Linked DNA regions of Sus scrofa. The protein of the gene in region 4 purifies or fractionates together with the protein of the main gene of each other region. This does not show direct contact. Links are inferred from orthologs where the notes say so. Each region holds a gene or a part of one and is shown on either strand. Other genes may lie near its edges.

Region 1 (3,980 bases), on a different chromosome or scaffold from region 4:
AATCAGCTCTCCAGTGTCACTGTACAGCGTTTTGGCAGTATAGATGTACCGGGGATACCTAAGCATTCGCAACACCCGGCTGCACTGGGCTTCATACTCCACCACACCACGTTTGTGCACTTGATATATCACCAGGTTATGCTGGATGAGGACACAAAGGGCTTTTTTAACCTAGAGAGGACACAAAAGAAAGAGAAAAAAAAATTGGAAAATGCAGTTCATTATTGTTGGCAATTTCTGTCCAACAATTTACTAAACTTCAGGAGATGGCTGGAACCTCCGTGCATCTTCTCTCTCTCCATTGGAATAGCTGTTAAGAATCGCATTGTTCATCTTATGAAGAAATCAGGAGGATTCCTAGCTCATATTTCCTCTGATCTTTATCTTACAAAGTACAACTTACTTGCTCTCTGTTACTGCCATTCCTTAAAGGTAGTGCTGAAATTAATAGACTCATCATGCATGAATGAAGTATGGCAAATGAAAAGCACAGGTTTGCCTAAGAAGCCACAGTGAGCCAGATCGCTTTGAGAAGCAGAACCTTAGGCACTATGTCTCATCCTCTCTCCCTCCCAATGACACTGTTCTGATCTCAGTGTAGCTCTCTTTTGTATTTTGTGGGGTGGGGAGTAGTAATATTCAAGGGTAGGTAAAGGAAACTAATGAAATAAAAGCAAATTAGTGTGATCCAAACATACCTGATCCAGCGATGTTCTTGTGTCATGGGCAATAACTCTTAGTGGCTGGCTGCCAGTTCTGATTAGGTGGACTCCAATTTTTTCTACAATCTCTCCAAAATGCTCTTGCAGCAATAAAGAACACAGTTTAATTTCTGCTTGAGTCATTGTACTGAGAAGTCTCAGACCTGAGAAAAGAAAAGAAAAGAAAAGAAAAAATAGCACGATGGGAAGTTTTTCTTTTATGTTGGAGTAGAGCTGCTAAGTGTAAATTCATGTACTTTTTGGAGGGCAACTTGACAGTAGATACGTCAAAAGCCTTAAAATCTTGCATATCTTTGACCTAATACTTTTGCTTTGGCTATTTTGTTTCAAGCGAATAATAATGATGTCACTTTAGAATACTGACATTCCAGAAACAATATAATATCTAACAATACGGGATTATTTCAATAAATTATGGTAGACTCATACAATGGCATACTACGTCTATGTTTACAATGAAGTGTAACATGTATTAGTGTACAAAATTGTTCATTAAGTGAAAGAAGCAGGTTACAAAGCAAAATGTAGAAGAAACTTAAATTATTGTGAAAAAAAAACCCCCTTTTTTCTTATAGGTATAAGAAAAAAAAGACTGCAAGACAATATATCAAACTTATCCTTATGGGATGTACGAGTCCAATTTTCTTTAAATATCGTGTGTAGATGATTTTATTTGGAGGAATTAAGGACACTATTCACAGCCTATTGGGAGTGAACAGGAAGTGTCATTCCCAATCCGTAAGAAATGACAACTTTGCAAAATAAATTAGGAGCGTCTCAACAGAGTGTTTCAAACAACAGATGAAGCATGTTGTTGGCAGGGCAGTATTCTGAAATTTCTACTCCTTGACAAAGTAGACACAAAAAGAAACAAACATAGTTGACTATAAAATCACTTGTTGTCATAAGTGCTACCACACACTGGTCTGTTCATTTATTTCTCCCAATCCCTCAGAAGCCAAGACTGTGTCTTTCAGTCTCAGTATTCCCACTCACAGGTCTTTGGGGAAGTATCCCCAGACCATCTGCCATCCTTGATAAGGATTTCCAAGGAACCTGGCTCCTGATTCTACACTTCCTTCCCCCAGGTTCCGGTTCCGGACTGGGTCCCTGGGTCTAGAGAAACGGCCTCATTCAGACCGCATTTTCCACTAACCTCTGGGTCAATGCAATCTAAAGCCGCCGCCGACCTCGTGCGGCTCCAGCCAGCGGCTCGAGCAGAAGGCACCCCAAGGCCCTTTTGCGCAGGAGCCCGGCCAACGAGGAGGGTCAGCAAAGAGGAAAAACGTGTGCCGCTCTACCCCAGCGTTTCGGTGGTTTCCGGGGACGCTCTTGCTTCCTTCTCGCTGGGAGGTTGGAGGACCGGCGAGGGGTGTTAGAGGAGCCGGCGGGAGGGCAGCGCCGGACGGACTCTCCTTCCTGTAGCTCTTTGGTGCCGGGAGGCGGGCCGTGGGGTCGCCGTCCTCGCCGACGCCTTGTGGGCCGGGCGGGCTCACGTGACCCGCGCGGACTCTGGAGCGGCCAGCTGCGCTGAAGAAGCGGCGGCGGCGGAGGCAGAGGCGTCTCTTGTAGCCGGGAGGTAGCGGCCTGGGGAGCGACGGGCCGGCTGCCCTCTCGGACGGCGGCGCCGGGAGAGAAAAATGGCGGAGGCCTCGGCGGCCGGGGCCGGCGCAGGCGCCGCTGTTGCCGCGCACCGGTTTTTCTGCCACTTTTGCAAGGGCGAGGTCAGCCCCAAACTACCGGTAAGAGTGTGTGTCCTCTGCACGCCAGCGTCCGCGTGGGTTCCTCGTCCGGATGTCCCAGAACGGCGCTTAGGCTTCCCGCACAGCCCCGACTCCCCTGACATGGGTATCCCAGGTACCTGCTGCCCACTGTCTCCTAAACCCCGGGCGTCCGGGCTGTGTGGCTCAGTAACTCCCGCCCAGCCTTTTTTCCATTCGGATGCTCCACCTGTCCCTCACTCTTTCCCCTTTTTACCTGCCCTCTATTATTTTTTTTTTCCTGGTTTTCCTTAGCAAGTTTTCTGCTGACCCCCTCCTCTCCGTTTTCTTACATTCTTCTTCACCTTGTCTCTTTCCACAATGACCTCCCCCCCCCTTCCGCTGTTGCTTCTCATCTTTATTTCCTTTTCCACTTTTCATCAGATCTCCCCTTCCACTATCCTCATTGAAGCAATATAGCGGATTGCTGAGGATTGTCTTTATTCATTGTCTCTAGGGAAGGAGGGAAGAAAGCGGGGCGGGGGGGGGAGGGAGGGTTGGAAGGTAACTGGGCAGAGAGGGGGATTTTACTCTTCAGGGGTTTCCAGCGTTCTTGTGAAAGTGAAAACAGCGGTGTACTAATGACTTGCGGACTGCGATCCCAATCACTGTCGAAGGAAATGGCTTTAGGAAGAAGGCAGAACATATTCTTTCAACTCTCTTATTTTGGTTGTCATGCTGCCAGTATCTTTAGCACCACCTGCCTTACCCGCCCCTCCTTCCCCTCCCCCATTCTCTCTCTTCACTTAGTGAGAAGATCTAGGACAGAATGTTGGGGACTGCATCCTCTGACGTAAAATTGGTTTTCGTCAGTTTCTGCCAGACTGTGTTAGCCCCTAGAGAGGTAGTGCTGTTGGCTGTGGAAAAAAAGTGCTTCTGCAGCATGCTTGCCAGCTATTGCACCCCAAGCCCAGAGGCTGTTTTAGGTTGAGTTACTACTGCAGGGAGATCCACCAGGGTGAATGTTAATCCTACCTTTGGCCAACCATCTTTAGAACTAGTTATGGTTGTTCTTTTCCTTAGAAGTATCTTTGTTCAGCCTTAAGAGGGTGTCTGTGTAACTACTTATCTCAGTGTTTATAGTGTCTCAGATACAATCTGTGAGAAAGCCTATTAAAGTGTGTCTCTGTGTCTTAGTTCTTAGAAACACCAGTGGAGTCCAGTGAAAAGTGCCTAAACAGTATTTTAGCCTTTTCACTTGAGTTGTGCTTTTTCAGGCTTTTGCTGTATTTTCTTTCTTCTCTATTTGCCCCACCCCTAACTTCATGGTCGTAGTTTCATCTACACGCTCTTTTAGTTTTGCTTGGATGATTTGGCTGTGTGTCTGTGTCTGTGTGCTTTTTGCTATACTTCAGTGCTGAGAAGAGCAGGTGCCGTGGCTTGTTTGTTTGTTTGTTTGTTTTTCCAGTGGACATTGGAGGCTCCAGAACTCTTCCTTACCACAGAGAGGGAGTCTGGAATTCAGCCAGTGCATGTGTGATGAGTGACATGTTGAATG
Region 2 (4,197 bases), on a different chromosome or scaffold from region 4:
CAGTTTCCCCCTCGAAGCTTTCTGTTCCAGTAATTTGGCTCCAAACAAGGTAGGAGGCATCTCTCCTCACCTTCTACATCCAGTTCCTGAGGTCTGCCATCCAGTACCAGTCTGCCCCTCAGACAGTAGCTTAGGGCCCTTTCCACGCCACTTCAACTCTTGGTTTTTCTGCTTCTCTCCTGACCCCTCTACAGTCCACTCCACCACACTGGCACCAGTTACTCACAAGACGTCTCACCCCCAAACTCCTTACCACCCCAAAGACCTTCCCTCCGAGGCTACTGCAGGCCTTTCTCCTCCTTGCCTGCCATGCTACAGATACGGAAATCTTGCAATACCATTAATTCCTCGAACTGCTAGTGCTCTGCTCCAGGACCTTTGCACATGCTCTTCCCTAGACCACCTTTCCTTTTTTGCAGAGCCAGCGCCTTCTCTCCTGTAATCTCTGGAAGGGCCTCTCTGATGTCCAGAGTTAAGGTAGGCCCCCTCTCAGGGTACTGGGGAGTGGAGTACGCAGGTTCAAAGGCTGACAGATACTTAGGGTGATTTAAGAGTCAAGGTGGGGAGGGCAGGTGGGAGACACAAGGTTCAGGAGGTAAACAGGGCAGCTCTTCAGGTGCCTCGCTAGTATTTTAGGCTTTCCAAAAAACCCTTTTCCTCTCTTAGAATCTTCCTCCTCAAATACTGCTTCACTGATGGAAGCCTCAGCTAGACGGAGGTACCAGCCTAAGGGCTGAAAATACTACCTGGTCACCCCAGTTTTCTCCTTCTCTAATACAGTAGTGTCCTGAAATTAAAGCAGTAAGCCAGCATCTATCCTAGAAATGCTGCCACAGAGATGGCACCTGATGCCACCGAAGGTCCTCCCGTGAAACCAGAATTCTCACAGTTCTTTCAAATTATTCCCCACCCTTGCCCCATCTACCGGTCGCAGCGAAGGACGCGATTCTCTCATGAATTTCTAAACAACATCGAGGAAGAGGCCAAGTCTTCCTTCACTCCCAGCTTCCTTTTCTAAACCATCCACGGTGTCTCTGGCGTCAGGCTCTGCTGCGGCTCTCGCTCCCCGGATCTCAGCTGTGCATGCACATTCCTTTTAATTCCCTGCATCCAAGTCCTCGTCTAGGCCCCTGATTTTCTCATGGTTTCCTCACTTTCAGTGTTGGTTCAATTAGGAAAACAAAACACCAACCCTAAAATAGTCAACCTCCAGGACAAAGGAACGGAAACCACTCAAATCGGTTTGAATGAAAGAGGGAATTTATTAGAAGAATACAGAGGGTTCTTGCAGGGACTCCAACAGCGGAAATGGTTAAGAGCTAGAGGCAGGCTCTTCTGCAGGACAGACCAGGTTGTCATCGCAAACTTTTACTTCTGGGCTTTGTCACAGCACCAATACGGTCTCCTAGAGGTCAGTCCTCCCTGGACAGGGCATAAGGGACTAGAAGGTGGACTCCTTTCTGCCGGCTTTATGATCCTTATATGCCTTTATGCTGGCCTCAAACTTGTCAAGCACGTGCTGGCAGACATTCATGAGCTCAGTCAGGCCTCTCTGAAAGGGCTCAACAGCTGGAAGGGCACCTCGAGTCTGTATGCGCAAATTAATTTTGCTCTCTGAAGGATGGGTTGTGGTGTAACCGCAAAACTCCACTTCCGGGTTCTTCATGATCATGTAGCGAAGAGAATTTCCTAGGGTATGGTCCTCCTCGTGCAAAACAAATGTCACACAGTGTCTATCTGTCCCAGCTGCCTGGACCATTTCCAGGGCTGTCTTCCTCTCGCCTTCAGCCATTGGGGTCTTCAATCCAGATATTTTTCTACACACATTTTTTGCAAAAATGAGATCATACTGAATATGCTTTCGTATCTAGCTTTTTTCATCTACGGTATCACAATGGTAACATGCTATTACTCCAATGCACTGCAGTTACAGAGAACTGTTAGCATGAACCTTTTATTTTCCTGCCTCCACATATTCTACCAATATTTAATTTATCGCCTCCAATTTCTCCCTACGCCATTTGGCCCTCCACATGGCCACGAGGGGAGTGTCGTTAAAAAAGCTTGCTAAATCTTATTTGGTAGAGTCACAAGAAAGGGCTATTATTAGAAACGGGTGGGCCCTGCCAGAGGATGGAAGGGGAGTTGAAAGGCGTGGGAAAACGCGACTATAAAAATAGAAACTAAAGCTCCTCAACGTGCAGGAGGTAAGGAAACTAGAAAGGAAAGTCTGAGAAGAGTCATCAAGCAGGAGGGAGAAAAAGCACTCAGCGCAGAGTAGCTTAAAGAGCGCTCTACACGGAGGAGGGACTTGGGCCCGACCAACACACCAATCCCATCGCTCCGGTAACAGGGGACGGTGCGTGGTTCGGAACGTTAGCTATGCTTCCTCTTGCTTTTCCAACGCGGGGGGTGGGCAGTTAACTCTGGTCTCGCAACTTGTCTTCCTTCCTCGATATCTAGAGCACTGAGCGCCTCCATTCAAACCATCCAGGTCTCCCGCCCCCTCTTCCCTCTCCCCACCCTGGCGCCCACCGCTCCCTCCTCCTCGCCTGTCCTCCCAGCCAGGCCCTCGCTGCTAGGCCGGGCCGCGGAGGCTGAGGCCCCGGCCGGCCGCCGGCTCCCAGGGCAGGGCGCGGCCCGCCTCTCCTGCCCCCACTCCCCGGCCGTTACCTCTCCAGCTCCTGGTCCTCTTCCATCGCGGGGGCGGCTTCCGGGATCCTCAGGTGGTGCCGGCCCGCCGAAGGCTCTGCCCCATACCGCGAAGCGTGCGGGCGCAGCAGGAAGAAAGGAAGGAAGGACCGACGGAAGGAGCGCGGACGGAAGGAGGGGGGAGGAGCCGCAGCGGCGCGGCAGGGCCCGGCCACTGGGCGGGGCGTGGAGGCTCCGCCCGGGCCCCGCCCACCCGCCCCGCCCCCGGCGCGAGGAGGGCGTGGCGAGGCCTGAGCCGCTCACCTGCGCTCCCAGAGCAAGTCCTCCCGGGAGGGCTAGCGGGGAGATGGGTGGGGTCCGGCTGCCGCCCCGCCCCAAGGCCGGCACCGGCCGGTGGGCGCCGGAGCTCAGCCCCCGGTGCCTTCCTCCAGGTGCGGGCGAAGGGGGCGGGGCCTTACCTGTGGCCCCCAAACTCCCCTTCTTAGAGCGAGGATCAGGCCTCCTTCTGACTTGCTGCTAGACCTGTGGGGGACACAGTTAGTCCCAGGCGGGTCCCCTGCCCCCCAAGGGACTCTCATGGGACGACGTACTTAAATTATAGTTAATCAGCACACTTTGATGAATTTCACAACTGAAGAGGATGGGTTTAAGACTGTATTTGTCTCATCCGGAATCTTGCAGCTGCACCCCTCAACGGGGTCAAAGGACACGCATTTTCTATTTTGGGGGGGAGGAGCGAGAGTTTGGAAGGAAACCATCTCCACCCGATCCCCACTCCCCCAATCCTTTCTTAGGATCTCCCTGGAGTACGCCCTGCCTCGTTTGGGACGTCCTTTTCCCCTTTACCCTTTTGGCCTCATAAACCTCCTCACCTGCGGAACCTCCCTCTCACCTTTGTTCCCAGGTGCCCCCGCCCCCTTTCACCGTCCGACTAGCTCTCCGCCCTCCTTCTCCCTTCGCGCCTCTCCGCTCTCCGCCCCCCTAGTGTTCCCGTTCGCTAATAATCCTTCTGCCTTCCACGCTCTCCTGCTCCCCTCGCCTCCTCACCCCGGCCAGCCCCGCTCCCTACCCCTCGACCCCCGCTGTCATCCAGCCCAACACGCCTACAGCTCTGCTTTCCTGCGCCACCTGTTCTCCTTACCCCACCCCCGATCCCCCTCGATGTTCGCCGCCGCCCCCAGCTGTTCCCCTCTCCTCGCAGCGTTCGGCGGTGAGCGCTGAGGCACTTCCCGAGCGCGTCTTCTGCTGGGGAATCAGGCGAGCGGCAGGGACAGCCGAGGAGTGGGGAGGGCGGGCGGCGAGGGGCGGAGCGGGCTCACTCTAACCCGGAGTGTCAGCCCCGGCCCGGCCCGCCCCCCGAGCTCCCGGATAGGCGGAGCCGCCCTCTGGCCCGCCCCCCTCCCGCCCTGTGCTGCCGCCGATTGGCCCCGGTGCGTGTCGGGCTGCGCGGCTCGGCCCTGGCGTCCGCCCGGGGGAAGGCAGCAGGGGCGGTTGAGAAGTGAAGTCTTGGCTGGAGTTTGCTTCTTGCCAGGAAATCCGCAGCGG
Region 3 (3,500 bases), about 20 Mb from region 4:
ATATATTATGTCCTTAAGATTTCATAATACAAAGAGAAATGGGTATTATTATTCCTTACTTACCAATGAGGAAGTCAAGGCTTTAAAATTTTTACTTGCATAGCCAAGTTGGCATAGCTGCATGGTAACAGAAACTCATTAAATTTTATTTTTGACCAGTACTTGAGCTAGAGATGGCATGTCTGAAAATCAAGCCAGAAGGATTATTGAAGGAATAGCAATAACTCTCAGGTTTAACTGTGGTGGAATGATGGATGGGTGTGCCATTTTATATTGATTGAACACAGATTCTGATTATTCTTAAAACTTCCTGGAAAGAAGTTGCTAAGATGACATGTGCTATAAGGAAGATTGATCTGGACCATTGGATGTGGTTTCTCAGCAGAACAAATTGTGTCTCCTTATTCCTACATTAAAACACCTTATTTTCAGTATACACATTGTTAAAACTGGAATTTTTAAGTCTAGAAATCCCCAGGAGTTAGTGGCTAAAATAGAGCAAAGTTAGCTTCCAGATGACTATTATTGTTTATTTCTTCAGCAAAAGTAGTTGTAAGTTTGTTTGTTTGTTTGTTTGTTTGTTTCTTTCCTTCTTTTTATCTGCTTTTTAAAGGGTGGTACTTGTGGCATATGGAGGTTCCCAGCCTAGGGGTTAAATCAGAGCTGCAGCCACCAGCCTATGCCATAGCCACAGCAATGCCAGATCCTTAACCCACTGAGCAAGGCCAGGGATCGAACCCACATCTTCATGGTTCCTAGCTGGGTTTCTTAACCACTGAGCCACAAAGGGAACTCCCAGTTGTAAGTTTTCTTTAATAAGGCTTCTGTGAGGAGAGGGAATGACATATAGTCAGATCTCATGATTAATGTGTGAATAATCAAACAGCAGTAAACTAATATTTGAGCTTTTTATTCTGCATGATACAAATGTAGGTGGCTCTCTCTAGGGTGGTCTATAGTATTTAAACCAGAAGAACTATTTCCTATTCATAAATTAACTGTTTTTGAAGTATTTTAATATTGTATTGCTCACATTATTAGTGAAACACATGTAAAGTAGTAGCAGTAAGTAGTTACATCTATGGCGACTACTAAGTAGATGAATCAAAACTAATAGCTTGGAGTTCCATGGTTGCTCAGCAGGATCCGGCACTGCCACTGCTGTAGCTCAGGTTCTATCCGCAGCCCAGGAACTTCCACATGCCTCTAGTGGAGCCGAAAATAAAAATAAAAAACCAATAGCTTAACACAAAAAGAATGACACAATGAGACAATGTGTGTGCCTCTGCAGTCTTTTTTCTAAATTTCATAAATATGATAATTGTTAACTGATTTAGGTATTTTATTGGTTTGATTTGGAGGTATGTGGTAGTAACAAAGTTGAGGTTATTTAAAGATATTTGCGGAGATCCCGTCATGGCTCAGTGGAAATGAATCTGACCAGCATCCATGAGGACGCAGGTTCAATCCCTGGCCTTGCTCAGTGGGTTAAGGATCTGGCATTGGCATTAGCTGTGATGTAGGTGACAGACGCAGCTTGGATCCTGCATTGTTATGGCTGTGGCATAGGCTGACAGTTACAGCTCCCATTTGACCCCTAGCCAAGGAACCTCCATATACTGTGGGTGCAGCCCTAAAAAGGCAAAAAGAAAAAAGATATTTGAGGTGGCAGTAGTGGAAATAAAAATCTCCTAGTCCCTATGTAGCACTGAATGAATTCTCTATCTAAAAAATATTATACGTAACTGGTTTAAAAATCCTATTGCTAATTATGAAGTAATAGCTAATAGCATGATTTTTTAGACATAGCATATTCCTTGTACAGAGTTAAGTAAATATAGTATCATAGTTGCCTTTGAACAACACAAACTTGCAGGTTGTAGGCCTTTTTACTATAGTTTGATTAAAAAAGAAAAACGTTTTGTGTATTAATTAATGTTAACATAGCATCATTATGTGTGTATGTGTGTGTGTTTATAGACACTTCAAAAAAATCGATAAATACCATTTTGTTTACTTCCAAAGGATGGCCAGTTGGGAAAAATTGCACACAGTATATTGTAGTAATAACTTATATAAAATAATATGTGTCAGTATGAAGATAAATCATCTTATGTCTATTACTTCGGTCTCAGTTTTTCTATCTTAGTAGGGAGGGTGACAGGAAAGTGGAGTTTGAATTTTTATTAAAAATTGAGTCTTTCTGATACAGTCTTTCATTGTCTTTGATTTCCTTAAATTCAAATTTGAATGTACTTAAAGGAATTTTTAAAAAATAAATATTTAAGAATCAATAATAGAATAGTTAAATTGTAGTCACTGCAAATGCAAAATATGTTTTCTTTTTTCTTTTTACGGATGCACCCATGGCAGAAGTTCCTGGGCTAGGGGTCAAATCAGAGCTGCAGCTACAGGCCTATGCCACAGCCATGGCAACATCAGATCCTAGCCGCATCTGTGACCTAGCCCACAGCTTGTGGCAACGCCAGATCCTTAACCCACTGGGTAAGGCCAGGGATTTGACCTGCATCTTTAGGACACTATGTCAGGTTCTTAACCTGCTGAGCTGCGATGGCAACTCTTGTTTTCTCTTTATATCTAATCTACAGAGCAAATATCTTGTAGAGTATTTATAGATTTATAAAATAGTGTTCTGATTACTGATTAAGAATAGTCATATTTTAGTTAAATGTTATCATTACATTCTTTTTTTTCTCTTTATGTCAGGAGGAAAACAAAATAACACTTTGAAAGTTCTTCTGTATAAACCAAATCAACTCTATTTTAGAAGGAGTTAGCATAGAAATCATAAAAATAAAGCATTGTACATCTAGAGCCAAAATCCCAGCATTACCTAAGACCCACTTTTGAAGTATCAAAATCATAGAAAGTACCAGGGTAATGACAGGCCAGTATCTCCTTTCTTGAATTAACTCACAGAGTCCTAAGTGGTGGTCTGGAGGTGTTGGGAAGGGAAGATTAGATTAAGGTGATAGGTAACTCTTTACCTGAGGTTGAGCAGGGAAATCAGAGTCTAGTGGTTTCCATTTAAATTAATTAAATGCATTTATGCCAGGAATTGGAAAAGAGAGGTGATGGTGAAAAATCAGATGAGGAAAATGAAGAAAAGGAAGGAAGCAAAGAGAAAAGTAAAGAAGGTGATGATGATGATGACGATGATGCTGCAGAAGAGGAGGAATATGATGAAGAAGAGCAAGAAGAGGTAAGGGTCTATTTGGGGAGGGTAACAAAGTTACTAGGCTTAAAGATGATCAAATACAGAATCAGATATATGGTAAATACTTAAACAAAAACCAAGTTGATGGGAATCAGGGGTACATTATCATCACTGGCATCAATCCTTGGTATCAAGAGAATTATAGCATTGGAATTGTAATGATACCAATTGAGATGTAGGAGGCATAACTTGATGGCAGCTTTGTAAGTGGAAGTCCACCAGTTAAGGAAATTGATCAGATTAGTGTAACTAAGATTTATCT
Region 4 (4,057 bases):
GAATCATTGAATAAATGTATTACCGAGTGAGAAGTTACTGATGGCCTCCACTGACACAGGGGCACTGGGCTGGGCAAACCTCCTGTATGAACCGGGGTGGTGTATGTGTGTGTGTGGGCAGATGTGGAGGTTGTAAAAACATGCACAATCTTGGGGGCTGTGGGGTATCCAGGGGCTGGGGTGGGCCTCAGGGGACTAGGAAAACAGAGATGAGTGCATTTCATAAGCAGTGGGAGCTATGCCAAGCTCCTCCCAAGCTAACAATCCCTTTAGGTCCTCAGCTAATCCTCTAAGACGGGGACACTTTATTATTTCCACTGTACAAAGTGGATAACTGAGGATCTAGGGCATTAAGTTGGACATGGCCCTGAGTCAACTGAGAAAACTCCCTGCAGTTGATCACACAAACACCTACGAACCATCTCTTAGTAAGTACGAACATCCTGGGAACCGAGCGTACCCAAGACCCTGTCAAGGCCTCAGTCTCCCCTTGCTTCTGCCTACCTGAATTTTTTTTTTTTTTTTTGCTGCACCCCCTCAGCATATGAAAGTTCCCAGGCCAGGGACTGAATCCAAGCCGCAAGAGTGATCTGTGCTACAGCTGTGGCAACGCTGGATCCTTAACCCACTGGGCCTGGGATCGAACCCGCGCCTCCGCAGCGAGCGACCCCAGTCACTGCAGGGACAACGACGGATCCTTAGTTCGCTGCCCCACAGCTGGAACTCCTGCCTCGCTGGATTTTTTTTTTCCCCTTAATTTTTTTTTATTACTCAAATGAATTTATCACATCTGTAGTTGTATAATGATCATAACAATCTGATTTCACAGGATTTCCATCCCACAGCCCAATTACATCCCCCCACCCCCTAAACTGTCTCCTCTGGAGACCATAAGTTTTTCAATGTCTGTGAGTCAGCATCTGTTCTGCAAAGAAGTTCAGTCTGTCCTTTTTTCAGATTCCACATGTCAGTGAAAGCATTTGATGTTGGTGTCTCATTGTATGGCTGACTTCACTTAGCATGATAGTTTCTACGTCCATCCATGTTGCTAAGAATCTGCCTCGCTGGATTCTAAACGTCCTCCCTAGGCGGGCGTTGAGCAGAAACTACGCCTCCAGAGAGGCCTTGCATTCAAAACCACGCGAGATCTACCGAGGAGCGGGTGAGTGGTGTTTGCCCTCTTTTCGCGCAGCCAACCGCCGCTTTAGTAAGGCTCGGGCTGCCCTTGGCTCTGCCCCTCCCAAAGGTCGCTGCATTCAGGCTTTAGCTGACTACAGCCCTGTAAGGGTTGGGCGAGGTGGAGGGGGCCTGACAGCGGCGCGGCGCAGGCGCAGTGGGCACGGGTCTTGCCGAGCGCAGGCGCTGTAAGTTCGAGGGGGGCGGCAGCCATGGACGACGAGGAGGAGACATACCGGCTCTGGAAGATCCGTAAGACCATCATGCAGGTGAGACGCGCGGGGGCTGCCCTTAGTACTAAGCGAACGCTGTCCGGCGCGCGGACGGCCAGCGCGAGGCCCGAAGATGGGAACGAGCTTTTCTATGTCTGGCCGCGCGGCTCAGGGGAAGGTTCTGGCCCAGGTGGGGCCCGTATTGGGCCGGGGACAGAGGGGCCCCGCCGACCACTGCTGAGTGGCGAGTCCGAGAGACGCCGGGGAGAGGGTCAGGGTTTCGCTGGAGCTGGAGGGAGGGAATTGGCCTCGCGTGTTCCTCTTTCCGGAAAGTTATGGCACTGTTTTGAGGGCCTGATACAGTATTCCAGGATTGTGGATATGGAAGGATCCCTGGTTAGCTGGTCTCAATGCTGTCTGGTTGCCCTGACAGCGCGCCCTGGCCACCAACTTTGAGCTACTCGGGCTGATAGGCTCCAAGTCATGCCAGCTCCCTAGCTAAGCGTTCTCTGTGTGCCACGTGCTTTAGGCTACTCCACGGGAGGGGGCGATTGTGATCCCACGGAGGCTTCGGGCCTTGACTAAGACCACCCACCCTCGCCACGGCGGGGATCCTGCCTGGACTAAGCTGGGGCAGTGGCACCCATATTCTCCACCTCCTTGCAGTGCTACCCAAAGACAGGGTAGGAACAGCGTTGCTTCAGGCTGACCGTGTCGCGGGCCCTGGGTGAGAAGAGTGAGCGCTCAAGAGGGAGAGTCCGGGAGTTCCTGTTGTGGCTCAGTGGTTAACAAATCCAACTAGGAACCATGAGGTTGCGGGTTCGATCCCTGGCCTTGCTCAGTGGGTTAAGGATCCGGCGTTGCAGTGAGCTGTGGTGTAGGTCACAGACTTGGCTGGAATCCTGCGTTGCTGTGGCTCTGGTGTAGGCTGGTGGCTACAGCTCGGTTTAGACTCCTAGCCTGGGAACCTCCATATGCCGTGGGAGCGGCCCAAGAAATGGCAAAAAGGGAGGAAAAAAAAAAAAAGAGGGAGAGTCCAGCTGTGGGGTACTTGGCTGAAGAAAGGGGATTCCGGCAGAGTGGGTGGCTTTCTCTTTGTCTGGGTGGTCATCCGGTCTGTCCACTCAAAGAATCCCAGTTTCTGAGTCAGGACCTAGATCTGCTGGCCCCCAGGCCTTGGCCTGGTTTTCCAATAGCCTTCTGCCCCAGGCAGCCCAGCAGCACCTCTCCCAGACAGCTGTCCTTTTCTGCCCCAGACCCAAGGGCCTGGCCTTGGAATCAACAGCCCTCCTCACATCCCAGCCCTGCTCCCATCTTCCCTGCAGTGGCCTTGAGCACCCTGAGCCTTTGCTGTTCTCTCTGCACCTTGGTCACCTGATTCTTTTTCTCTGCAGCTTTGCCACGACCGTGGCTACCTGGTGACCCAGGACGAGCTGGACCAGACGCTGGAGGAGTTCAAGGCCCAGTTTGGGGACAAGCCCAGTGAAGGGCGGCCGCGTCGCACAGACCTCACGGTGCTGGTGGCCCATAATGACGACCCCACCGACCAGATGTTCGTCTTCTTCCCAGGTGAGGGCCTGCTCAGGGCAGCAGCAGCCACCTGCCCTGACACGCAGTCTGTACCCCTCATCCTTCTGCCTCTCTGCTGTATGTAGTGCCTCCACTGAGGCAGCCTGGCTCTCAACCCCAAAGGTAGGGGACCATGCTGGGTCACAAGCACCTTGGGGGCCCACCCTGGTGTGCCTCCAGGCAAGGGAGAGTGCAGAAAATGCCTGCTGAGCAGACCCAGAGGGCACTTTTAAGATTTACTTTATTGAATTATGTTTTACAATGTTATGTTCTTTTCTGGTGTATCGTAAAGCGATTCAGTTACATGCACATAATTATTCTTTTTCAAATTCTTTTCCGTTATGGTTTATTATAGGATATTGAATATAGTTTTCTGTGCTGTACAGTAGGACCTTGTTGTATATCCACCGTATGCATATAAGAGTTTGCATCTGAGAGTTCTCTTTGTGGCTCAGTGGTTAATGAACCCGACTAGGATCCATGAAAGAAAAAAAAAGAGTTTGTGCTTGCTAATCCCAAAATCCCTCAGTCCCCTCCCCGTTGGCAACCACAAATCTGTTTTCTATGTGTCTTTCTGTTTCACAGCTCATTTGTGTTATGTCTTATCTTCCACATATAAGTGATACCATGTAGTATTTGTGTTACTTCATTTAGGTTACTTAATATGATAATCTCTGGGTCCATCCATGTTACTGCAAATGACATTATTTCTTTTTGCTTTTTTAGGGCCCCGCCCGCGGTTTATGGAGAGTCCCAGGCTAGGGGTTGAGTGAGAGCTATGCCACAGCCACAGCAGTGCAGGGTCTGAGCTGAATCTTGTGATCTACACCACAGCTCACGGCAATGCCAGATCCTTAACCTACTGAACAAGGCTAGGGATCAAACCTGTGTCCTCAAGGATACTAGTCAGGTTCGTTAACCTCTGAGCCTCGACGGGAACTCCGATATATGTGTTCTTATTGCCATTTTATTAACTGTTTTGGGCTTGGGTTTTTTGTCTTTTTTCTTACCTTCTCTTGTGGCTTGATAACTCTTTTTTTTTTTTTTTTTTTTTTGTCTTTTTGCCATTTTTTTGGGCTGTTCCCACGGCATATGGAGGT
Region 5 (4,221 bases), on a different chromosome or scaffold from region 4:
AAACAAAAATAAATTAAAAATTTTTTAAAAATAAATAAAAGGGCCCTAGAGAGATCCTTATGGTGATAGAAGGTGTTTTGATTGACAATGTTGATATTCTGGCTTACAATATCCTACTATTGGGGAAACTGAGTAGAGAATTTGGCTCTTCGCATTATTTCTTACAACTGCATATGTATCTATTATCTCAAAATAAAAATTTTTACTTAAGAAAAAGTGCATCTTGGAGTTCCTGTAGCCGCTCAGCGGTTCATGAACCTGACTAGCATTCATGAGGACGCAGGTTTGATCCCTGGCCTCGCTCAGTGGGTCAAGGATCCCTCTTGCCATGAGCTGTGGTGTAGGTCGCAGATGCGGCTCAGATCTGGTGTTGCTGGGGCTCTGGTCTGGCGGCAACAGCTCCGATTAGACCCCTAGCCTGGGAACCTCCATATACCACCACTGAGGCCCTAAAAAGAAAAAAAAAAAAAAAAAAAAGTACATCATCTTGTGGCTAGGTATCACAAATTTGGAAATTCACCCTAGGAATATAATCCAAAAGAATAAAAAATTTTAAATGCACCAGGTGTTCACTACGTTGTTATTTACAACACTAGAAAAGATATAATTTAAGTGATCAAACCGGAAAACAGACAAATCATGATAATTCATGAGAATTACGCGCAGTCGTTTGATGCAGCAACGAAGAAAGGTTATTTGAAATGGGAGGATTCAAAATTGTGGTACAATAAGAAATCTCTGAAGGGGATTGGAATATAGCAGAAAAGTTTTAGTAGTTACTCCATGTGTGATTCTAACAAAAGTCTTCCTTCTCTCAAGCTTTCTGTAATGTTGTTACACGGTTTTCACATGATTTGGGGGTGGGAGGAATGACAGTAGAGAATCTTTTTTTCTAGGTTAAATTACAAATGTTGGAGTCACGAGAAAAGTTATTTAAAATTGCCCCTCCCAGTAGAGCAAACTTCGTTTTTCTGGTTCCAGGATTGGACCAAGAATGCACACAACGGCCCAAAGTCACGAAGCCAGGGCAGGTGCCGTTAGGCATTAGTTGCTCCAGCGCTGTGCCCGGTAAGGGATCCCTGAACAAGAGCGAGGCCTGGCCCAGAACTCCCCGATTCTGAGTCGGGGGTCTTGCTTTCTACACCGCGTCCCACGCCCCATCGTGAGCCTCGACCCGGATGCTCCACAGCAGCGAATCCCCACATTGCATCATGTTCGCCGCCCGACCCCCAGACCCAGAGCTGAACGGCTCCACTTCACGCTCCGGGGCACGACCCCCAAGCGCTGCAACGTGGCGTAACCTAAACCAGTCCCCTCTTCCTTTTTCGCCCTCTCAACCCAGCTTTTCCCGACTCCGGGAAGAACCGGGAAGAGAAGGCGGAGGGGAGCGAGGAGCCGCGGGATAAATAGTGTGGCCCAGCCCCACCCCCCGACCTCACTTCCGCCCCACGGCAAGATGGCGGCGCCCGGGCCCTGCCACGCAGACTTCCGCCCGGCGCGGAGGCCTAGGGTGGGCTGCGGGTCGCATTGGATGTGAAGTCTGGACGCGCGAGGTGCGGAGCTGCAGCCCAGGTGCGTTGAGGTGCGTCCGTGCCTGGTGCCTGGCCGGGGGGACCAAAGGAGAGAGCGAGCCAAGGGCTCTAGCGGGGGTGGTCCGGGGAGTCTCGCCACGTGGGAGGAGGAGGAACTGGGACGCTGCGGGAGGGCCGCGCTGACTGGGGGGCAGGAGGCCACGTGGGTGGGGTTCCGGCCAGGGTCCGCATGTCCTCCTCCTTCAGTGACTTCTTTACTCCTTTCCTCTCTCTGCCCCAGGCAACATGTCGGAAGGAAACGCCGCCGGCGATCCCAGCACTCCAGGAGGGTCCCGACCCCTCCTGCCCGGTGCCCGGGGGCTTATCGGGAGGAGGCCGGCGCCTTCCCTCACCCCAGGCCGCCTTCCCTCCATCCGCTCCAGGGACCTCACCCTCGGAGGAGTCAAGAAGGTACCCGAGGGCACCATTCTAAATGAATCCAAATGCCCTAAACTGCAGACACCTTTGACTGAAGTACCTGTAGGGCCTTCAGTATGGCAGGCATAGCGTTAGGCCTCACGAATCTTGCCTGCAATATCGGGGAACCTGCCCCTACCTTCCAGTCAAGCTACTTACTGGATACAAAATGTTGTCATGGCTCTCAGAAAAGGCTGAAGAGCAGAGAATCCTAATTAGATCAAAAGCACTTTGAGCAGTGTTCATTTCCTTTTTATGTGTGTTTTGAACATCCTTAAGAAAGTGCTGAAAGGAGTACCCATCCCGGCTCAGCGGAAACTAATCTGACTAGTATCCATGAAGATGCAGGTTCCATCCCTGGCCTTGCTCAGTGGGTTAAGGATCCCGCGTTGCCCGTGAGCAGTGGTGTAGGTCACAGTATTGGTTCAGATCTGGCATGGCTGTGGTGGAGGCCAGTGGCTACAGCTCACATTTGACCCCAAGCCTGGGAACCTCCATATGCTGGGGGTGCGGCCGTGTGGCCCTAAAAAGAAGATAAAAAAAAAACCCAAAAAGCTGCGAAAGCCACCCAGGCATAGAGTTTGCCTGCAGTTTTAAAGAGCTCTGAATTTGCTGTGGTTCCCAGTGTGCAGACATCTGATCCAAAGTATTATGAGTCCTAGGCATGGTGTTAGAGGCTCTGTCCCCTTGTATTATGTTTAATTGCCTGTAGATGTAAAGGATAGCCCTTAAAGGGGGGATGGGGAGGATGACAGAACATAAAGCAGACAGTTTTTGTCTTTTTTTTGTGGGGGGGGCACACCCTCGGCATATGGAAGTTTCCAGGCTAGGGGTTGAATCGGAGCTGTAGCTGCTGGACTCTGGTTCATTACTGCTGAGCCACAATAAGAACTCCAAGCAGCCAGTTTTTGAAGGCATGAGTTTACTTTGGGAAATTCTAGTGGCCTTCTGACCCAGTCATTTGCTTATGAGTGCTAATTAATTTGTCTTCCCTACTGGAGCCTTGTTGCTAGAGCTCTTTCCCTGTGATACTACGTGGTCTCTGTAGCAGTTTGAAGACAAGGAGTGAGATTAGGGAAATTTCCTTATTGTTAGAAGTCCCGAAGTTCTCCTTTCAGAGGGCAGAAGCTGAAGCTGCTGTTTAAATGTTTTTTGGTGCCTGTTTCTTCTATATGTAATTCCACTGCCACTATGATGTGACTTTCTTCCTTTTCAAGCACATGTACAGGAGTTCCCTTTGTGGCTCAGTGGGCTATAAACCCTACTAGTATCCGTGAGGATGCCAGTTCCATCTCTGGCTCCGCTCAGTAGGTTAAGAATCAGGCATTGCTGGAGTTCCCATCATGGCACAGTGGTTAAAGAATCCGACTAGGAACCATGAGGTTGCGGGTTCGATCCCTGCCCTTGCTCAGTGGGTTAAGGATCCAGCGTTGCCGTGAGCTCGGGTGTAGGTTGCAGACACGGCTCAGATCCTGCGTTGCTGAGGCTCTGGCGTGGGCGGGTGGCTACAGCTCCAATTAGACCCCTAGCCTGGGAACCTCCATATGCTGCAAGAGCAACCCAAAAAGACAAAAAAAAAAAAGAATCAGGCATTGCTGTGAGCGGTAGTGTATATGACACAGATGCGGCTCGGATCCAGTGTCGCTGCGGCTATGGCTTAGGCCAACAGCTGCAGCTCCAATTCGACCCCTAGCCTGAATTTGCTGGGAATTTCCATATGCTGAGGGTGTGGCTCTAAAAAGAAAAAAAAAATTGAGCATATGCCCATTTCTGTAAATCTTTGACAACGGTGTGGCGTGTGTAGAATAAAACCTTGCTGGTCTTTATCCATAGAAAATGCCCTTTGGAAGTTTTTATTTTCCTCTGTGCTTTGGGATCAGAACTTAACCAAATCAGTAACTCCGGTATTTTACTTTCAGAAAACCTTCACCCCAAATATCATCAGTCGGAAGATCAAGGAAGAGTAAGTAGCCAGACCTTCTGAATACTTGTTCCTTATTTACATACTTGGGCTTTGGGGGAAGGAAGTAGGTATGTGGTTCAGAAATTTAAGTTTATAAAAAGAAAGAAAAAAAGAGAAATTTAAGTTGATAGATTTAGTTCTTTTCAGTAGTTATTTTCAACCCTGGCTCCCAGGGGATTTTTTAAAAATTTTTTATTGTAGTTGATTTTTACAGTGGTCTGTCAGTAGGCTCCCAGGGGATTCTGATGTGCAAGCTTTAAAAAAATACTG
Region 6 (3,948 bases), on a different chromosome or scaffold from region 4:
TGTGACCTACACCACAGATCATGGCAACGCCGGATCCCCAACCCCCTGAGCAAGGCCAGGGATGGAACCTGCATCCTCGTAGATACTAGTCAGATTCATTTCTGCTGTCCCACAATGGGAAGTCCCTCAATGAACAATTTAAACTGCAGCACTGTCTTAGGAGCTAGCAAACAAATTACCTTCTTTTCTGTCCTGTTACTGAATTGCTTAAGGACCTCTTAGCTAACTTCTCTAAATCTCAGTATTTCCAGCTATAAAATGAAGGAAATTCTGATATTATCTCAAACAGATTATAGAGAAGAGTCCATTCTCCCTATGTATATTAAGTTCAAGAGTAAAAGAATGGGAGTTCCCTCTGTGGCACAGGGTGTTATTAAGGACCCAGCATTGCAACTGCTGTGGCTTGCTGCTGTGGTGCAGGTTCGATTCCTGGTACTGGAACCTCCATGTGCCACAGGTGAGGCCAAAAAAATTAAAATAAAAGAATGAACAGAAGGAGTTCCCACTGTGCTACAGTGGGTTAAGTATTCAACTGCAGTAGCTTGGGTTTCCACAGAGGTGAAGGTTCAATCTCTGGCCAAGAGCAGCGGGTTAAAGGATCCAGCAGCATTGGAGTTCCCATCGTGGCTCAGTGGTTAACGAATCCGACTAGGAACCATGAGGTTGTGGGTTCGATCCCTGGCCTTGCTTAGTGGGTTAAGGATCCAGCATTGCCGTGAGCTGTGGTGTAGGTTGCAGATGAGGCTCAGATCCTGTGTTGCTGTGGCTGTGGTGTAGGCCAGCGGCTACAGCTCCGATTAGACCCCTAGCCTGGGAACCTCCACATGCCGTGGGAAGCAGCCCTAGAAAAGACAAAAAAGTAATAAAATAAATTAAATAAAATAAAGGATTCAGTGTTGCTGCAGCTGTGGCACAGGTCACAGCTATGGCTTGGGTTCAATTCCTGGGGCAGGAACTTACAAATGACATGAAGCCATAAAAATTTTTCTGTGTTTTTGTCTTTTCTAGGGCTGCACCCACAGCATGTGGAGGTTCCCAGGCTAGGGGTCTAATCAGAGATGTAGCCACCAGCCTAGGCCAGAGTCCCAGCAACTCAGGATCGGAGCCAAGTCTGCCACCTACACCACAGTTCATGGCAACACCGGATCCCTAACCCACTGAGTTAGGCCAGGGATTGAACCCATAACCTCAAGGTTCCTAGTCGGATTCATTAACCACTGAGCCACAACATCAACTTCCTCGGCCATAAAAAAAAAAAAAAAAAAAAAATCAATGAATAGAAAGTGGAGTTCCCATGGTGGCTCAGCATAAACAAACCTAAGATAGAGGATGGCAAAATCAATTTAAGGAGTCAACATTCTATTTTAATAGAAGAGACTACTAGAGTTACTGTATACAACACTGTCTCAGGAAGCTTTCACTTCAGATACATATACGTATTGTGGTTTTTTGGGTTTTTTTGGGTTTTTTTTGTCTTTTTGGCATTTCTTGGGCTGCTCTCACTGCACATGGAGGTTCCCAGGCTAGAGGTTGAATCGGAGCTGTAGCCACCGGCCTATGCCAGAGCCACAGCAATGAGGGATCTGAGCCGCGTCTGCAACGTACACCACAGCTCACGGCAATGCCGGATACTTAACCCACTGAGCAAGGCCAGGGATCGAACCCGCAATCTTATGGTTCCTAGTCGGATTCTTTAACGAGCGCCACGACGGGAACTCCAACTGCGTGTGTGTGTGTGTGTTTAAGTCTGCAAAACAGTACATATAAACGTGAAACATGAAGTAAAAGAACATAAAGGAAAATGTCAGGATTAAACAATCAGAGTTCCTGTCCTAGCTCAGCTGCAATGAACACGAGAAGTATCCATGAGGATGTGGGTTTGATCCCTGGTCTCTAGCCTGATAACTTCCATAAGCCACACCTGTGGCCCTAAAGAGCAAACAAAACATAAACATGTTGCCAAAGAGAACGCAACATAGGTATAAAAATCCACATACAAAGTAGCTGCAAAAACTTCCCTCTGCACGCAGTACAAGGAGCAAACATGGAAAAGCCGATGTGGAGTTACAATTGTTAGAATGGCTTCTACTCCTAGCCCCCCACCCCAACCCCACACGGCTACCTGCTTCTTAACTACTTTGCAGAGCACCTCCTCTGAATCCGGGCTCCCCAGAAGCCCACTGCTCCTAAGCAAAACTCTACTCCAGCATTTCCCCACCTCTCCTCCAGGTACTTCCAGGCCGGACCCAGGGTTTAATAAGTCCCTGCTCTCATACCCAGCTCCCCACCGCGACCTGGCGACGCTGTTGAGTGCGTGAGGGAGGGAACAGACACCTGGCACCCCTAAAGGCAGCCGGGCCAAGTGGCCCTCGCCCCACGTCCTGAGCACGCGGTGGGAGAGGGGGCGAAGGTTCAGAAGGCCGGAGGGAGAGTCCCTTCCTAGCCTCCTGGCCCGCCGCCCTCCCCGCCCGCCCGGACGAGGAATCGCCCCCGGCCCACATCTCCCGGCTCCCAGGAATTAGCCGTCCCCAGCTCTGAGCGTCGCCCTTGAGCCGACGACGCGCCCCGGGCGGCTTACACTTCCATGTCGTCCCCGCCTCGTCGCCTTCGGCCGGACACAGACCCTCACCGCCCATCCGCTGCTCTCGCCGCCCGAGCAAAGCGCCCGGAAACCGACTCCGCGGACCGCGGTGCACGCCGGGATCGCCGCGCTGCATGCCGGGATCCTGGAGGACCCCCGTGGGGCCGGGGGCGTTGCTGGCTCGTCTTCCCGACCCGTCTCTGCGCTCTTGGTCCGACCTCAGGCTGTCAAACGTTTGCAGACGGATTTAGCTCACGTTTTCGTGGTCTAGGGTATATCCAAGTATTAATCCAAAGATGTAATCGGATTCGTAGGCATTTGCAGCGTTAAAATCCCACCCCTTGGATAGTAGCGATGGCAAGGGGCGAGGTGGCCTTGGGCTGCTGGACATGCTCTCTTTCAGGATCTGGACGCCGAGTAGGTGGTGCTTCTGAAAATTCGGTGGGCTGTAGCTTATGTGCACATTTCTGTATGTGTGTTATAATGGAATAAAACGTTCTAAAAGGTGAAAAAAAATCTCAGACTCCCTTCTCCCTGTTCCCATTCTTCACTATTTGTCAGAAAATTATGAAGAGACTTCTTGACAGTCTCTGATCTGGCCTTTCTAAGAATTTGCCCAAATGGAATCATCAGATGCTTGACGAAAGATCAACGTGTAATGATAATTTTGCTGGGAGATAGCCTACATACCCAACAATGGAAAATTGATAAATCGTGTTTCAGCCATACAGTATGCAGTACGATATATGTGGCCCAAGTAATCTTGTAGCATATTTGATATGCTGGGGAAATGCTCAAGACAGATTTTTTTTTTAAGATGGAAAATGATGTGTTGTGACTCTAATAATCTAAAGAAAAATAATGCATAGGGGAAAAAAGACCTCAGGGTAAGGGTGATACAGCCACCTAATCTATGAAATTTTGTGTCTTAAAAAAAAAAAAAAAAAAAAAGAGTTCCTGTTGTGGCTCAGCAGTTAACAAACCCGACTAGCATCTATGAGGACTCAGGCTCTATCCCTGGCCTCACTCAGTGGGTTAAGGATCCAGTGTTGCCATGAGCTGTGGTGTAGGTCACAGACACGGCTCTGGCGTAGGCAGGATGTTACAGCTCCTATTCGACCCCCTAGCCTGGGAACCTCAAATGCTGCAGACACAGCCCTAAAAAGACAAAAAGGAAAAAAAAAAGTGGAAGGCTGATGTCTATTTTCTTCTGAATTTTTAGTATGTTTGAAGTATTTGGAAGGAAATATGCCAAAAATTAAAAATGGCTGGTGTCTTTAGGTGATGAATCAATTGCTAATTTTTCCACTTTTTTATAATTATATCAGTTATCATTTACTAAACACTGTCTCCTTGATAAGCGTTTT
Region 7 (4,139 bases), on a different chromosome or scaffold from region 4:
GCAGGTGAAATTCTGTCATTCCATGGGTTCGCGAACACCTGTTTTCATAGCATTTAGCTCAATTTGTCTAAAGACACTCAACTGTGGGAATCGCTTGCTCACATCTGCTTTTCCCACGAGACTACAGAGCAAAAGCTTGTCTTTTATTCGTTCAATAAACACTTACGTAAATATGGGGGACAGAGGGGAAGAAGACAAGAGTTCATGCTCTCATGGAGAGGGAAAGAGAAAAACAGAAATCAACTAAACAGGAATTCCCTACTACCTCAGGGGCTAAGGACCTGGAATTGTCACTACTGTGGCACAGGTTCAATCCCTGGCCTGCCAACTTCAGCACGCCGAGGGCCGGGCCAGCAAAAAAAAAAATGAGAGGGAGTTACTGCTGCGGCTCAGTGCTGACGAACCCGACTAGTAACCATGAGGACTTGGGTTTGATCCCTGGCCTCACTCAGAGGGTTAAGGATCCGGTGTTGCTGTGAGCTGTGGTGTAGGTCCCAGACATGGCTCGGATCCCTTGTTGCTGTGGCTGTGTAGGCTGGCAGCTGCAGCTCTGATTCAACCCCTAGCCTGGGAACTTCCATATGCCATGGGTGTGGCCCTAAAATGCAAAAAAAGAAAAGAAAAGGCAGTGGGAAGGCCTCTGACGACTTGGCACTAAGGCATGCAGGCCTGGCACATAAAAGGTGCACAAGCGTTCTTTTGCAGAAATAAACGTGACAGCCAACTTTAAACTACCATCCACCTTCCCAGAAACAATGGATGGTTGGACAGCAATTATTATTTCCACTTTACATATGGAAACTGAAGCCCAAATGGGGTAAATGACCTGCCCCAAACTGCAAAGTAAGGAGTTCCCATCGTGGCGCAGCGGAAATGAATCCAACTAGGAACCATGAGGTTGCAGGTGTGATCCCTGGCCTTGCTCAGCAGGTTAAGAATACACCGTTGCAGTTGTGGTGTAGGTTGCAGACGGCGGCTGGGATCTGGTTGCTGTGGTTGTGGCGTAGATCCGGCAGCTGTAGCTGATTCAACGCCTAGGCTGGGAACCTCCATATGCCGCGAATGAGGCCCTAAAAAAGCAAAAAAAAAAAAAGCAAAATAATTCGGAAGGGTCCCACTTGCAGCGGCCTTCCCCCTTCCCCCCCCCCCTTTTTGGTTATTTTGCACCCGCGGCATATGGAAGTTCCCAGGCTAGGGGTCAAATCGGAGCCTACACCACAGCCACAGCAACGTCAGATTCAAGCCGCGTCTCCGACCTACACCACAGCTCACAGCAACGCTGGATCCTTAACCCACTGCGGCCAGGGATCGAACTTGTGTCCTCAAGGATACTAGTCAGGTTCGTTTCCGCTAAGCCATGACGGCAACTCCACGACGGCCTTTTTTTCAAGCCCAGTTTTTCTTTTGATTCCCTCCAACATTCTTGTGGGGTAAGGATTACCCCTATCCCATGCACAGGTGAAGAAACCGAGCTCTGAGACGTTAGGCTACTTGCCCAAGGCCGAGGCTTGGCACCGACAGGCCGAAAGCGGGCAAGTAAGCAGCGCTGGGCCCTCTCCGGCCAAGGCCGGCCAGCGACCCCATGGACCCAGTCAGTACCTTGTTGGCCAATTTCTTGTTCAGCTCCTCGGCAATAGAGTCGTTGAGCTTCCTCTCAAACTGCCACGGGGGTATCCGCACGGTGTCAACCATCTCCACCAGGACAAACATCCCGCCTGCGCGGGGGACTCTGGGAACGCGAGTGTCAGTCACGCACAGACACCTGGGGCGGCGGGGATGCCGGGGCCCGCTCTGTCGGTCCCAGTCGCTGACGGGGCGGCGGGGATGCCGGAGCCCGCTCTGTCGGTCCCAGTCCCGGAGCCCCCCAGGTCGGCAACGGAGCTGGAAGCCGGGGCCTAGGGTATCTCCGTAAGGGGCGTGCTCCTCTACTGCAAGCAGAGGAAGCTGAGGCTCCACGGGGAGGACCTCCTGGTCGCGCGGGAGGGGCGCGCAGCCCAGTCAAGCCACACACACCACGCACTACGCACCACGTGCCTCCGCCACGCACCGCGGACCCACGCCAGCAGCACTACTACGGACGATAGTCCAAATCCGGTAGCTTCCGGGAGACCGACCAATAAGAAGCTTCGGTCCGCCCCGTCGCGAGGCGGGGCTACGTACCGGTCTGCTCGGGACGGGGCCACCCCTTCCGCCTGCGTGGAATCGTCAATCCCAGGCAACGCTTTCAGGTTGCTAGGCGACCTCTGTGCCACCGGGCCATCTCTGCTTGACCTGTGCAGTACTCTCCTGGCTCAGGCCTACCTCGACGCTGCAGCCGGCCCTTCCAAATGCAAACACAGTATGCCTAGACCCTTCAATACTCTGGAATCGGGGACACTGGGCTGGAAAGGAGCAGGCGAGACCTTTATAGGATGATAGAAATGTTCTGTATCTTCTTTTTGCCGGTGGTTACACAGGTGTAGACAGTTGTCAAAACTCGTCGACCTCAAGACTTAAGATCTTTGCATTTACTTGTAATTCAGATTACATCTCAATTGAAAAGGGATAATAAATTGGGACAAAAAAAAAACAACCAAAAACCAAAAAACCCTTACTGATTTACTTTTGAATTAGCAATAAGGTCCAAAATCTTTATCATAGCTCACAAGGCCCTGCGTGGTCTTGTCATTGTCCACTCCTCCAGCCCTGGTTTGTTCTGTCTCACCACATTCCAGTCTCACTCATCTTCATGTGATAGCTAACATGGGCTTGGACTAAAAGAATTTCATACCTTGGAGTTCCCGTTGTGGCGCAGTGGTTAACGAATCCGACTAGGAACCATGAGATTGCGGGTTCGATCCTTGGCCTTGCTCAGTGGGTTTAGGATCTGGCGTTGCCGTGAGCTGTGGTGTAGGTTGCAGATGCGGCTCGGATCCAGCGTTGCTGTGGCTGTGGTGTAGGATGGCGGCTACAGCTCCAATTAGACCCCTAGCCTGGGAACCTCCATATGCTGCGAGAGCGGCCCAAGAAATGGCAAAAAGACAAAAAAAAAAAAAAAAGAATTCCATACCTTGTCTAAGGCCATGGGCTGCTAAGTGGTAGAAGTGGGCCCCATACAAATCTGTACAGTACACAGCCTTCGTGGAAATACACTGCGGGGGGGGGGTGTTCCTTGTCTGTTTGGTTTTGGCCATGCCTGTGGCATGTGAAAGTTCCCTGGGTCAGAGATGGAACCCAAGCCACAGCAGCTATCCCAGCCACTGCAGTGACAATGCCAGATCCTTAACCCACTGCCCTACAAGTGAACTCTACACTGCAGTGTCTTGTTTTGTCATTTCTTTTCTTTCTTTTTTTTTTTTTTTTTTGTCTTTTTGCTATTTCTTGGGCCGCGCCCGCGGCATATGGAGGTTCCCAGGCTAGGGGTTGAATCGGAGCTGTAGCCACCGGCCTACACCAGAGCCACAGCAACGCGGGATCCGAGCCACGTCTTCGACCTACACCACAGCTCACGGCAACGCCAGACCCTTAACCCACTGAGCAAGGGCAGGGACCGAACCCGCAACCTCATGGTTCCTAGTCGGATTCGTTAACCACTGCACCACGACGGGAACTCCTGTTTTGTCATTTCTTACTGCAGTATAGTTTTTGTTTGTTTGTTTGCTTTTTACGGCCACAACCCTGGCATATAGAAGTACCCATTCTAGGCATCTAATTGGAGCTACAGTTGCCGGCCTATGCCACAACCACAACAATGCAGAATCTGAGCCGTGTCTGCAGCCTACACCACAGCTCACGGCAACGCCAGATCCTTAACCACTGAGTGAGGTCAGGGATCGAACCGGCAACCTCATGGTTACCAGTTAGATTTGTTTCCGCTGTGCCACAACAGGAACTCCCATTGCAGTGTAGTTGATTTTCCATATTGTGTTAATTTCTGCTGCACAGCAAAGTGATTCAGTTATAAACACACATTCTTTTTAAAATATACTTTTCCTATGGTTTATCATAGGATATTGAATATAGCTCCCTGTTGTTTATCCATTCTATGTATAATAGCTTACATTTGCTAACCCCAACCTCCTGCTCCGTCTCTTTCCCAGCCCCCTTCCCCTTGGCGACCTCAAGTCTGTTCTCTGTGTCTGTGAGCCTCTTTCTGTTTT

The links.
Region 1: the proteins of POLR2E (region 4) and POLR3C purify together in Homo sapiens (affinity purification with mass spectrometry; 4 studies listed by BioGRID and IntAct, counting the BioPlex papers as one, with this or other methods). This does not show direct contact. The link is inferred for Sus scrofa from reciprocal best matches to the Homo sapiens genes POLR2E and POLR3C.
Region 2: the proteins of POLR2E (region 4) and uncharacterized protein LOC106505238 purify together in Homo sapiens (affinity purification with mass spectrometry; 4 studies listed by BioGRID and IntAct, with this or other methods). This does not show direct contact. The link is inferred for Sus scrofa from reciprocal best matches to the Homo sapiens genes POLR2E and POLR1D.
Region 3: the proteins of POLR2E (region 4) and POLR3G purify together in Homo sapiens (affinity purification with mass spectrometry; 3 studies listed by BioGRID and IntAct, counting the BioPlex papers as one, with this or other methods). This does not show direct contact. The link is inferred for Sus scrofa from reciprocal best matches to the Homo sapiens genes POLR2E and POLR3G.
Region 5: the proteins of POLR2E (region 4) and POLR3D purify together in Homo sapiens (affinity purification with mass spectrometry; 6 studies listed by BioGRID and IntAct, counting the BioPlex papers as one, with this or other methods). This does not show direct contact. The link is inferred for Sus scrofa from reciprocal best matches to the Homo sapiens genes POLR2E and POLR3D.
Region 6: the proteins of POLR2E (region 4) and CRCP purify together in Homo sapiens (affinity purification with mass spectrometry; 3 studies listed by BioGRID and IntAct, with this or other methods). This does not show direct contact. The link is inferred for Sus scrofa from reciprocal best matches to the Homo sapiens genes POLR2E and CRCP.
Region 7: the proteins of POLR2E (region 4) and POLR3H purify together in Homo sapiens (affinity purification with mass spectrometry; 6 studies listed by BioGRID and IntAct, counting the BioPlex papers as one, with this or other methods). This does not show direct contact. The link is inferred for Sus scrofa from reciprocal best matches to the Homo sapiens genes POLR2E and POLR3H.

Annotation. Positions count from the first base shown.
Region 1 is NC_010446.5:99,491,338-99,495,317, forward strand, and holds the start of POLR3C (DNA-directed RNA polymerase III subunit RPC3), read right to left. Parts: upstream 2,801-3,980; 5' UTR 2,465-2,800; coding exon of another isoform or gene 2,363-2,464; 5' UTR 1,879-2,362; exon of another isoform or gene 1,835-1,878; intron 871-1,834; exon of another isoform or gene 866-870; 5' UTR 846-865; coding exon 699-845; intron 172-698; coding exon 1-171. Other genes in the region: E3 ubiquitin-protein ligase RNF115, read left to right, coding at 2,363-2,464. UniProt on the Homo sapiens protein: DNA-dependent RNA polymerase catalyzes the transcription of DNA into RNA using the four ribonucleoside triphosphates as substrates.
Region 2 is NC_010453.5:5,042,963-5,047,159, reverse strand, and holds the start of uncharacterized protein LOC106505238, read right to left. Parts: upstream 2,801-4,197; 5' UTR 2,700-2,800; coding exon 2,674-2,699; intron 1,818-2,673; coding exon of another isoform or gene 1,442-1,817; exon of another isoform or gene 1,239-1,441; intron 1-1,238. Other genes in the region: POLR1D (DNA-directed RNA polymerases I and III subunit RPAC2), read right to left, coding at 1,442-1,817, 2,674-2,699.
Region 3 is NC_010444.4:97,679,256-97,682,755, forward strand, and holds part of POLR3G (DNA-directed RNA polymerase III subunit RPC7), read left to right. Parts: intron 1-3,076; coding exon 3,077-3,223; intron 3,224-3,500. UniProt on the Homo sapiens protein: DNA-dependent RNA polymerase catalyzes the transcription of DNA into RNA using the four ribonucleoside triphosphates as substrates.
Region 4 is NC_010444.4:77,329,498-77,333,554, forward strand, and holds the start of POLR2E (DNA-directed RNA polymerases I, II, and III subunit RPABC1), read left to right. Parts: upstream 1-1,257; 5' UTR 1,258-1,388; coding exon 1,389-1,445; intron 1,446-2,782; coding exon 2,783-2,957; intron 2,958-4,057. UniProt on the Homo sapiens protein: DNA-dependent RNA polymerase catalyzes the transcription of DNA into RNA using the four ribonucleoside triphosphates as substrates.
Region 5 is NC_010456.5:6,519,592-6,523,812, forward strand, and holds the start of POLR3D (DNA-directed RNA polymerase III subunit RPC4), read left to right. Parts: upstream 1-1,421; 5' UTR 1,422-1,572; exon of another isoform or gene 1,573-1,582; intron 1,583-1,812; 5' UTR 1,813-1,817; coding exon 1,818-1,982; intron 1,983-3,907; coding exon 3,908-3,951; intron 3,952-4,221. UniProt on the Homo sapiens protein: DNA-dependent RNA polymerase catalyzes the transcription of DNA into RNA using the four ribonucleoside triphosphates as substrates.
Region 6 is NC_010445.4:16,619,206-16,623,153, forward strand, and holds the start of CRCP (DNA-directed RNA polymerase III subunit RPC9), read right to left. Parts: upstream 2,801-3,948; 5' UTR 2,587-2,800; coding exon 2,579-2,586; intron 1-2,578. UniProt on the Homo sapiens protein: DNA-dependent RNA polymerase catalyzes the transcription of DNA into RNA using the four ribonucleoside triphosphates as substrates.
Region 7 is NC_010447.5:6,998,351-7,002,489, reverse strand, and holds the start of POLR3H (DNA-directed RNA polymerase III subunit RPC8), read right to left. Parts: upstream 2,801-4,139; 5' UTR 1,711-2,800; coding exon 1,600-1,710; intron 395-1,599; exon of another isoform or gene 1-394.